Xenopus tropicalis: one gene and its partner. The protein of the gene in region 2 purifies or fractionates together with the protein of the main gene of each other region. This does not show direct contact. Links are inferred from orthologs where the notes say so. Each region holds a gene or a part of one and is shown on either strand. Other genes may lie near its edges.

Region 1 (5,317 bases), on a different chromosome or scaffold from region 2:
CTGCTGAGTATCTGCCAACCTTTGGGAAATGGAACCAGTGAAAGGCAGTGTATGAGCTTTGGATGCAACCTCTGATTTGTTTGTAAAAGCTTAGGGACTTTGTGAGATGCTACAAAATCTGTTCCTCCAAGATGACACATTAGTGGGACGGAGGAAACCATTGTTGGAAATGCTGCCCCCACCCGCACATGCCTGCTTTTTCTTTTAAGCTAATGCCAGACGAAGTGTAGGGCAGATATTTTCATCAAGCGTAAAAACTGCTAATGTGCCTGCACCCGAATGAATGGGATACGCTTGGGTGCAGGCACGTGTAGCTGAAATACGCATAAATACGCAAGACTTTCAAGCTCGCTTGCCAAAAATATCCGCCCTATGCCTCATCTGACATCAGCCTTAGAGCTAAACCTGACTTGGGACAGAGCATAGGTCAAGCAGGCAATGCAGCAGTACTTCTATGCTTTATGGCTGAGATTACAGCTATCTTTATAACACATCATGCATATCAGAATGGTCAGATCCTATTGTGCCAAAGAATTCAACATGCACAGTATGCCTTGATAATAACAATTTCAATAATTTTAAGGAAGATATTTTAAATTACTCGCAGCATAATGTGATATCTACAAGTCTGTTGTTAATACAAACGAGCTTGTTACCAGAGTTTACAGAAATGTTGCTTTCCCCTCAGGGCTACTTTGTGCTGAACGCTGTTCTTTCAGAGTATCAAGCCCTGGTCACTGCTTTAACCATGTGATATTATGCTCTGGCAGTAAAGGCACCATTGAACACTAAATTGAGTTCTCTCTCCTGGAAAAAGTAATGGCCAACTGGTAAATGGCTTTTCTTTTAGAGCTTAACATGGGGAGTAACATTTGGTGAAAGACGGCTGGGGCCCCTGGTCCCATTGAAAGCAAGGCTACAGCATAGTGTGATATTCTTGCCTAAAGGTGGCCATACCAATTCAGCAGCCTTTCTGCCCATATTTGGTCACTGCGGGCAGGCCTTCCCAAAAGAAATCTGGAATCAAATTGGCCAGATCTCTATGAGGCAAGATATGATTTTCCCATCAGATCAGGGAACATTGGATAGTTGATGCAGTCCTCGGTCTGACAGTGCCCATAGCTGCTATTTTAAGTCGTGCTTAAGTATTATTGCTAATGAAAGCAAAGCCTGGCTGTACCTTGCTCTTCCCTGCATTGCTGGTGCTGGCCATATGCACAACGTTACAATAGTTTGCTCTCCTCCAGCCAATGATCAGTTTCCCACAATACACTGGATTGTTACTTAGAATTAAAATGATACTGGTATATTCCTAAAATAGTCAGCATAACTAGGCAAGAATGGCCACAACCTTCTTTTTTAAACAGTAGCGCCTCAAGCCTGTGGTACCGGCCCATCTCTAGCAGGCCATGTAACAATGTTGCCAGTATGAGTCAAGCCAGTGTATGGTTCACATTATAGGGTTGCACCACCTCCATCCAACGAAGCAGCTCTCTCTCTGCTTATTGTGTCTGCAGGTTAACACTGGGCTGTGGGCAGAGAAACTTTGGTTCTAAACAAAGGACTTTGACTTATTTGTATAATAAACCCTTCCTTCTAAACAGGAGTCACAAACAGTACCTAGGGGAAGGAATGGGTTGTTTACATAGTGCTCAATGTCTCTATTTAAAAAATCTCCTGATAAGTAGAACAATAATCCAGGAGTGCTATTAAATAAAAGGAAAAAAATGGATTTCTTTTTTTAAACACAAGCTTCATGATTTGGTTATGTTGAACATAGGTTCATATTTTCCCTTAAAAAAATGTGAGTTATAAGAGCAAAGGGAAACAAGCAAGAAAACAAAAAAAAAAGGGAGACAACATTGAAACAAGTTGGATGTATATATTTTACTTCATTTCACACACTTTGTTGCTGTTATTTGAAGCTGCTGGTGCCAATAAGGAATACAGTGAAGATGGAACTTATGGTGCCTGTCCCAGTTATTTCTAGTAAGAATGCGTAGTGTGGATAAAGGCTTAGTTTGCTCATATCATGCATCACCCCCCCAAAGAAAAATAAAATCCTTAAGTAATGTGATTCTCTGTCAGCAGTGACTGTATATTGTGCGCTCAGCCATGGAGTTACCAGCTTTTTAAAGGTAACCAAAGGTCTCCCATTTGAAAGTGAAGAACACGTAACTTCGACTTATGGTAAAAAAGATCTAATCCAGCCATGAGACTATAATATACCCGTTAGATTTCCCTTAATACACAGAATTAAATATGCTGGTGTGGGTTTTAGCTGTACAGACAAGTGGTTTCTGGCATAATGTCCCTTGAACAGGCCTTTTACATAATTGCAGCCCCACTGGCTGTAGGCGGCTACAGGGAAGACCGAACAGACAGTAATTGTGCCTTTACCTTTAAACCGCAAGCAGACTAACCCCCATGATAGAGAAGCTACGGAAACCAAAGCAAGGAAAAAAAATATTCAGTATTTCCATTAGGCAAATGCATAAGGGAAATGAGAGATGGGAAATATTGTGACCCTCAGTCCTTTGCCTAGAACAGTTCATAGTCGGGGGGGGGGGGGGGGAAGGAAACTAAAAATAAAAGTTGTCAACAAGGAAGATGAAAAAAAAAAGATCAATACAAGGTATCAAGGCAAAAGCAAAGGAGAGCTGCAAAGAAATAACATATGCATAATTTTTTTTTTTTTTTTTTTTCAAACATTGTTAATATGTACATAAATACAGCTTGTCTTCCCAACGCTATTAATTCCATCTGCGCTTTAACAGCATTATACATGGTAGAATAAACCCACTAATAATGACTTACTGGAGGTGGTCTCTCTAGCTCCCTGCTCCCTGGTGCACTACACTTTGCCAAAGACTCAGAAGCCAACCTTGCCTATGCAGGAGAGAGCACACTGGCCAATCTTGTCACAAGGATGAGTTTATTAAATTAGTTGTCTTATAAAACAAACATTGCAGTCTCATTGTTAATATAACAATTCTCCCAAAGTAGGACCTGTTTGCAAAGCGCCATCCAGTGGGTGAGCAGAAGATTAAGAGAAAGGGCCAGACCTTGAACCTTGGTGCAAGAGTCAAAAAGCAATAAACCAATCGTGAAACCACACTGACACGCAATCACTAAATAAATATCAAGACCCTATGGCCCTCCCCTCCGGCAGAGCCATCAAGAACTGCCAGTTGGCCACAAAGTCATGATGACCCACATGTTTTGGTACTGGCAGCTCCAACAGAAGGCAGCACATATAGTCTGATGCACCAGCGGTATCTCCTTACCATTCTGCATCTTCACAGTTCCACATACTGTAGAGGTGATTTCAGATTGTTTAAAGTTTTAATATGGAAAAGCACCAAGCTGAGTCCATCAGGAATCACAGTTCAAAGCAGGAGATTCCTCTAGCACAAAGCTAAGAAACCAATATATATTAAAAAAAAAAAAAAAAAACTAAGATGGCTGGGAGGGCAGTGTCAATGAGGCAGGAAGTAAAGAGCCAGAAGAAAAAGAAAGATTTAATAACCTGCCCTGCCCAGAGAGAGAGAGACCATATTCCTAGGCAGAAAGCAGAGGCATGACTCTGTTTGTAACATGGCAGAGCTGAGCGTGCATGCCACAAGCAGAGTGGAGAAGGTTGCGAGCCTTGAGTTAAGGGGATGCTGAATAGAGCTGCATAGGTTAATTGTTTAATGTGCGATGTGGGCATCAACCAGTAGAATCCAGATACACACACCATGGCCATTTTCTTTTATATGGCCCGTTGAGGGGGGATGATTTCTTTGACTGTAGCATTTGGCAGAGTCCTGAGGGAGGAGAGCGCACTCCTTAATGAGGGCCACAAAGAACCAGCGTGTCACATGAAATCGTCATACTCTCGTCCATAGCCCTCATCCATGCCCCCATAATCTTCTAGATCATTCTTCATGTTGGCTTTTAGTCCTCCTCCCGGAACAACTCCCTTCTTTTTCTTTTTGGCTTTACTTTGTTGCTGTAATTCAGAGACACAATTGTAGTTTATCCAGGCAAAAAAATATGCTAAATCTCTACCTGCACAGAAGCAGGTTACAGGGGGCATATAACCTACCTATAACAATGACCAATGATTCATGATTTTAGCAGCTTTTACACTGCATGGCAAGAGCGGGGTAGAACATATAAAGCTTAACACTACCCTGCTAATGTCACATTGAGCAAAACAATAGAGCGGTGATGCATGAAGAGATGCTTCTTATCTATATAAAATAAACATTTGCTATTCTTCTTAGCGCTCAGCAGGGGGCACTCATGTTACACCTTCATGCTAACATCATGAAACAAGTCCTCTAATAGGTTGTCATTTTTCTATTACCTTGAAATAATTTCTTTAATACTCCTCCCACCCAAATAAACTCACCTTCTCTTGCTTCTGTTTCTCAAAGCACAACACTGTTAGAGAATTGTTGATTTTCTTCAGGTCATCCACTTCCACTAAAACAGGAAAATACAAAAATACTTCAGGCCACCGCAATATATGGCAAAATTAATGACTAACAAAGTTCATGTGATAAGTCATGAATGAAAAAGCTTTATGGAAATTGGAAAGGAGGAGAGGCTGGCTTACATGAGACGCACACTTCCCGCACAAGGACCTCCAGGAAGCCTGGGTAAAATAACGATCTCTCATACTGGGTGATCTTTTCTTTGAGGAGCTTCCCAAATTCTGTAAAGTCTTCTCTTGAGGACGGATTCATGGCATCTATTCCAGTAACGGTAACATTGTCTCCTGCAGATAATAAACAAACTTTTTTTTAAGGTTTCCTTCCCTCTTCACTGTGACCATATCTGTGCTAAAGGCCACCCTAACATAGCTGCATGTTGGGGAGCAGGTAGAGCCAGGCCTGTGTGCCAGAGCAAGAAGCCAGGCAAAAAGGCAGGTAGTTAATGTCCCAGGCTGGCGAGTTGGGGTGTGATGTTGGACACGGCTACAATATAAGTCAAGCAGAGCGGGGTGGCCGAGTGCTATACTCACTTCGGCACCGCACTGTCCAAGCCTCCTGCTCATCCTAAGCTGCTGAAATCTGCCTGAGTGGTCTAAATAGCGCAATAGGGCTAGGATGCAGAAAGGGGCTACCATGTGAGGCAGACAGGTAGCCCTGCTTCTGGTATCACCCAGGAGTCAACATTAACCACTGACCAAATAATTTCTCTCTAAGGGGTATATTTATCATGCTGTGCAAAAAGTAGAGTGAAGCATTACCAGTGATAACCAATTAGCAATTAGATATCAACAATTAGCAGCCAATCAGATGCTTTGCTTTTCTATGAGCAACAT
Region 2 (6,409 bases):
GGGTCCCTACAGATTCCTGTTATTGTTCATTACTCGTACAACACTGCACACAAGGTTGGGGCAAGTGGGGTAAAGGCTACTGTTATATCAGTGATGCAGTTCAGTAATGCAGGCAGGTTGTTAACAGTTGACCATCTTTATTTCTTACACACAGAAACTAGCTTCCCAGTCTCCTCCCACTATTTCCCAAGGCTGCAACCATCTAACATCCTTCAAAAGCATATAACTTTATAAAACATAACACAGTTTATGCAAATACATAACTGATACGACTCCCCAGCTTGTAAATGGGTTTTTAAAAAATATTTAGGCATTCTGTAGGCACATGCTTCTATCTACAAACAATTTGCATTGGAAGCGCATAAAAATAAAAAATGTGAAATTATGGTGTAATATTTCTTAAATTAATAAAACACCCACAAGTGCAAGCTTGAGCAATGTGACCATAAATGAGTTAAATAATAAATAAATTTTCTCCACCAGTGCAAAATGGTGAGCTGATGCACTCACCAGATGTAAAATACAGCAAGGCAAAGTAAATCTGCAGATTCTTGGTAGTGATAAAGCGGGATCCTCAAATTGTGATAAAATGAGAGAAAACAAACATAATGTAATACTACTTTCTACTACTTCCTCAGGAGCCAGATTATAAAATCTTTTATGATCCAGCTCCTGAGGAAGCATGACGTAATTATGCGAAACGCATAGAGATTGTTTCTCGTTTCTGCTGAATTGTACTACAATCTGTGAGTAGCCTGTATATGAGCAGGTTTTATTTTTAATAAATAGTATTACACTATGTTTGTTTTCTCTCATTTTATCACAATTTGAGGATCCCGCTTTATCCCTACCCCCCCCCCAATCCCTTGGATGTTGCTCCTAGTGGAGCAAGGTGCTTATTTTTTAATTCCTGGCTTTTGAGCAAGTTTTGGTTGCATAAAAACCAGGTGTACTCAGGGCCGGATTTCCCTATAGGGCCCCCGGAGGCCGCCCCCTTTTGTCGCCCACCTCGACACCCAAGCTTCACGCATGCGCACCGCAACCCCCCCCCCATGCGTGCCACTTCATTCATTCGGAGCCATGGGGAGAGGACGCGCTAAAGTTTTGGCGCTTCCTCTCCCCATTATTCTGCACGGGGGCAAATTGTTCTGGTGTGGGTGTGGGCCTGGGTGTACTGCCAAACAGAGCCTGATGTAGGCTGCCAGTCAATATAGGGGCTACAAAATAACCAATCAGAGTCCCTATTTGTAACCCCAGGAACAGTTTTCATGCTTGTGTTGCTCACCAACTCTTTATACATTTGAATGTTGCTCACAGGTAAAAAAAGTTGGGGATCCCTGCTCTACATCATACTACTAAGGGGCAGATTTACCAAAGCACGAATTCAAATCCCGAATGGCAAAAATTCAGATTGGAAATGAAAATTTCGCTGTCATTTCGTCGCCGTCGCAACTTTTTCGTATTTGTTTCGACTTTTTCTTCGCCGGTGCGACTTTATCGTATTTTGCGCGACTATTTCATCGCCGTCACGATTTTTTTGTATTGAGCAATTATAAACGCCGGAAAAACCAATCCGATTTTTTTGCGACGGCGACGAAAAAAGTCGCAGAAAATATAAGAAAAAGTTTGACGGCGACGAAAAAGTCACGGAACATACGAAAAAGTCATGACGGCGACGAAAAAGTCGTAAAAATACCGATCATTACAAAAAAAATGCATTCGGACCGTGGATTAGTAAATGTGCCCCTAAGTCACAAAAGAGTTCCATGACAAAGTCACTGCACAAGGAGAAGTACTTTTATACAGATCATGGAATTCTGAGGTGGCTCCTAATATCCTCAGTTATTTTACAACAGGGAATACATTGTTTATTATAATACACACGTTTCAGTGAGTCATATGAAATAAGCTGCATCACAGGATAGTCACGGTTCTTGTGTGCGTTTGTATACATTGTTTTAAAATAAATAAATATATATATATATTGGAATTCTAAATAGGACGTTGGTAGCAACATCACAAAATGAATTTTTGCTAAACATTACCGTTTTGTAGTAAAAGTAAGTCATTATAATGTAGATACGCGCTACATACACTTCTGAAATAATTTCTCACACATAGTCGCAGCAGCTTGGCTAGTAGACAAAATGAACACGCATATGTTCGGGAATACAAAATCTTTAAACACACACTATATCGAGCAAAAATCTCGCATTAGCCCTAACACACTTCAAGTCACGTGATACCGGCAACATTCTAATCACGTGATGTGTGCAGGGAAGACAACGCGGCGCTAGTTTGTGCTCTTCCCTTTCCGCTTTTAGTCTGTCACGTGGATTGGGTCTGCGCTTGCGTAGAGGTTCGCCGGGATCCGGAAATGGTTGAGCTAGCTGGTGCGACTGCGCCCGGCTGCGCGGACTGAGGAAAGCAGGTGAGAATCGGTGGGGCCTGATTTGTAATCCATTGCCATCCTTCGTCCTGTTAATGCCTGTCGAGTCTGAAACGTGAATTGGTAACTTACTAGTGGCGCTTACCCACCGGCACCGCGTGGCGCGATGTCCGTGTACTTAAAGCTGCCTCACCATGGCCTGTCCGTATGAGGCCCTTAACAACCCTTTTAGCTGTCCTTCATAGCTAAAGTCCGCTCGGCGTGAGAGTCGAGCAGACAAGATTGGCATTTCATGTTGTGTTGTTTGTGTAAATGTGAGGAGAGATGGATGGAATTGCTTACTGAAGCCGGTTCCGTATGGAGCGGCACAGCGAGGAGTACGTGTGACATTGTGTCAGTTTAGGTGGGTAGCGCGGAGGGGGCGGAGGCGCAGTGACATCATGCACCTCATGAGTTACAGCATGCACCGGCAATCAAAATGTCCTCCATCAGGGGCTTTAATGGCTCCGTAGGCTCAGGAACTCCATGCGGTTATTCGGCGGGCATGAATGAATGGCACCATACCGTTTCAACGCGAAAAGAGCTTGTGCTGGTAGGGAGTGGGAAACTTAGCTTGCCCTATTGTTTTATATGGCACGTCATTTCTTTTGTGACCCTCCACTGTTCATTTGCGGCCAGTTCTATCCGTGATAGTGCATTCAAATAATATATTAACACGTTGGAACTGTAAAAAAATAAGCTGCCTTTCCTGAAACTTCTAGGACTTGATATCCCAGTTTAGGAAGACAGGTTCTCCCATCTTTTTCTTCAGCTCAAACTTAAATGAGACTTTTTTTTTTTGTAACTATTGTTATTTCTGTTAACATATGTTTTAACTGGATGTGTGTCTGTGGGTGGGTGAAGGGCGGGCACTATGGGTGACACTTAGTTTTGCTGAGTAAGTGAAAGTAATCCCACAAAGGCTATATAGTGTGCTTGCTTCATCTGCACCCCACACCCACCCTAGGGTGCTCTAGCATGCTGCTTCTTAATCTTTTACTGATGGCACTGCCTTTTTTTTTTTTTTTTTTATTATAACACTGCCATTTTATAGCATCAACTTTGTGTGTAATACATATAATGTCAAATTATATATAACGGCACTCACTTAATGGAGAGAATGTCTGGGTGCATACCCACCCCAAATATGTAATATAGAATGTCATATAAAGCAGAGTACTTACAGGACTTGAATGTATGGTGAAAAAGAAATGTCCTGTCCTTACTTTTAAGTCCTGTAAGCACCCTAAGATATATATTCATATAATTTACATTTTTGACCCTGAGAATAACTTGCATTTATAAATTTGTATGGTTATGCTATCACATGGTTGTTTTAGTTCTGTTTTATTCTGTGTAGCTCTGGTATAGGCAAGACACTAGTTAACCTTCCTTATCTTTGAAACTGTAAACTTAGCTCTGCTGCCCTAATTGTGAAACATTTCTTGAAGCAGTTGATTGCAGTAGTGGTAAACGAAACTGGTGTAGTGTGTTAGTGGCGGTGGTTAATTGGGCAGTTTGGTGCAGATCTTTTTGATAGTAGATCAGGCAAATGGACGTAAGAGACAGCTCCTAAAAATATGGGGTTAGCCTGATAGTAGCCTTCAACACTCCTGCCTTTATTACTTCTGTATTTATATCCATGTCCATCATTTGCATGCTTTCAAGGTCTGCTTTAGTGTAATGAGTAGAGGACCCCGGATCATTTGACTTTAACGCGCCACAGAATCAGTTATGTTCTGTCACCTGTTGCATTATGCATCAGTAGAACTTGTACGACTTCTCTGTTTCTTTGTTATAATTGTTTTACTAAGGTTTTAACAATGCTGCATACATGTTTTATTAAATATTATATTTAGTCAACAGTTTAGCATTATATCTTAATTATCTATGTAGCGCTGACTTATTCCACAGTGCTTTACAGATATTTATGTTTACATGAGTCCCTGACAAAATTGAGTTTAAAATCCAAATCGGTGTAAATCTCATCTGCTGGTTAGTACCTGCTTTTTTTTTATTTATTTTTTGCATAAGTCACTGTATAACCACTAGGAAATAATAACATCTGTTATAAAAAAAAACAAACATTTTTGTTAGCAACTTTAAAAAAGTAAAGTTTAAATCACCGGGGGTTGTCTATATTAGGTACCCTCCAGTGATTAAGATTGCTTGCCATATACCCTGGGCCAGTGCTTCTGTTTGCTAAAAACTGTCCGGACCCAGAGTAATTTCTGCTGCAGATCCTTATCGCCACCTTCTTCTGAGTCTTTCTTCTGTTCCAGTTGACCCATTCACAGTAGAATGAAAGCCGAAATTAAAAATAAAAAGCTGGCTCTTGCACTCTAGTGCACATGCGCACTCCCACTCCACGGTGAAAAGAGGAGAAAGCACAGAAGAACTTCTGCAGAAAAACCCCAGTCTGGTGCAGCTTTCTGCTAACAGGAGCACTGGTCCAGTGTATCGAGTAAGCCATTACGATTACTGGGAGGGTGCCTAACACTTGGCACCCCCCAGTTATTTAGACTTTCCTTCTCCTTTAATGATGATCTTCATGAAACCAACATGAACACTCAGGTGTGATGCTTGGCAGTAAAACCTGTTCATGTGACTAACTTTTTTTTCAGAATAAATGTCAATCAAAATTCCTTTATTAAAGGAACAGTAACACAAAAAATGAAAGAGCTTTAAAATAATAAAAATATAATGCACTGTTGCCCTGCACTGGTAAAACTGGTGTGTTTGCTACAGTAACACTACTATAATTTATATAATAAGCTGCTGTGTAGCCCCGGGGGCAGCCATTCAAGCTGGAAAAAAGGAGAAAAGGCACAGGTTACATAGCAGATAACAGATAAGCTCTGTAGAATATAATAGTGTTTTATCTGTTATCTGCTATGTGCCTGTGCCTTTTCTCCTTTGAATGGCTGCCTCCATGGCTACATAGCAGCTTATTTATATAAATTATAGTAGACTTTCTGAAGTAAACACACAACTTTTACCAATGCAGGGCAGCAGCACATTATATTTTAGTTACTTTTATACACTTTCATTTTTTGGTGTTACTGTTCCTTTAACTTTTACCTTTAGGATACATTTAGGGGCACATTCATCAAAGTGAGAATCATACTTTGATAAATCTGCCCCTAAGTGTATATTCCATTTGAGCAGGGGCAGCAAGAAGTAATGTGTAAATGCTGCAATGGCTATTGGCCCACTTACACTTGCTGGTCACATGGGAATCAGTATCTGCTTAATTCCATTCCTCAGGGCGTTCCTTGCAGAGCAGTATTCCGTTTTGGGGACTGAGCCCAGTTTAATAGGGTTTGACTGTTCTTTCCTTTTTTACTGGCATGATCTTGGCCTGCAAAGCTCGTGTCTTTTAGAAAACTAAGATAAAAATGACACTTATTGCCTTAAGCAACCAAACCCGGTCCTTAACCCTTTTACTGCCAGCCGTTTTGGTCAAAGCAGAACTTGTATTGCCAGACAGTTTTTGAACATTTCACTTTAGGGGTCTTTCCTCGGGGGGACTTTTAGTTTACCCAGGAAAACAATATATCATTTTTTTCAGAACAACCTAAGCTTTCAAAATATGGTATTTTTTGTGTAATTCCAATTCTGTAACAAGATATAGGCTTCTAAATGTCTAAAAATGCAAAAAAAAATCAAATTTTCCATAATATTAACACACATACTAGAAACAAAAATTATTTTATGCACAAATATACAACTGATTTGGAAAGTCCCATGTCTCCTGAACGTGCCAATACCAAATATATATAGTTTTATGGAGATTTCTCACTTGTATAAGTCAAAAACTCCCAGCAGTACACTACCAAATTTCCAAAGCACTGCTCCAGAATGCTGCATGCTTTAGATTTCAAGGACAAAAATTCCACTAATAGAAGGTTTATCCCAGACAATTGTACATTTTTGGAAAGAACAGATTCTGGGGAATCCAGAATAGGTAGAACTGTCTGT

The links. Proteins that work in one complex are often made in the same cells at the same time.
Region 1: the proteins of eif4g1 (region 2) and eif3j purify together in Homo sapiens (affinity purification with western blotting; 3 studies listed by BioGRID and IntAct, with this or other methods). This does not show direct contact. The link is inferred for Xenopus tropicalis from reciprocal best matches to the Homo sapiens genes EIF4G1 and EIF3J.

The regions. Positions count from the first base shown.
Region 1 is NC_030679.2:118,202,230-118,207,546, forward strand, and holds the end of eif3j (eukaryotic translation initiation factor 3 subunit J), read right to left. Parts: intron 4,769-5,317; coding exon 4,607-4,768; intron 4,474-4,606; coding exon 4,400-4,473; intron 3,995-4,399; coding exon 3,860-3,994; 3' UTR 1,869-3,859; downstream 1-1,868. UniProt on the Homo sapiens protein: Component of the eukaryotic translation initiation factor 3 (eIF-3) complex, which is required for several steps in the initiation of protein synthesis.
Region 2 is NC_030681.2:99,826,848-99,833,256, reverse strand, and holds the start of eif4g1 (eukaryotic translation initiation factor 4 gamma 1), read left to right. Parts: upstream 1-2,310; 5' UTR 2,311-2,431; intron 2,432-6,409.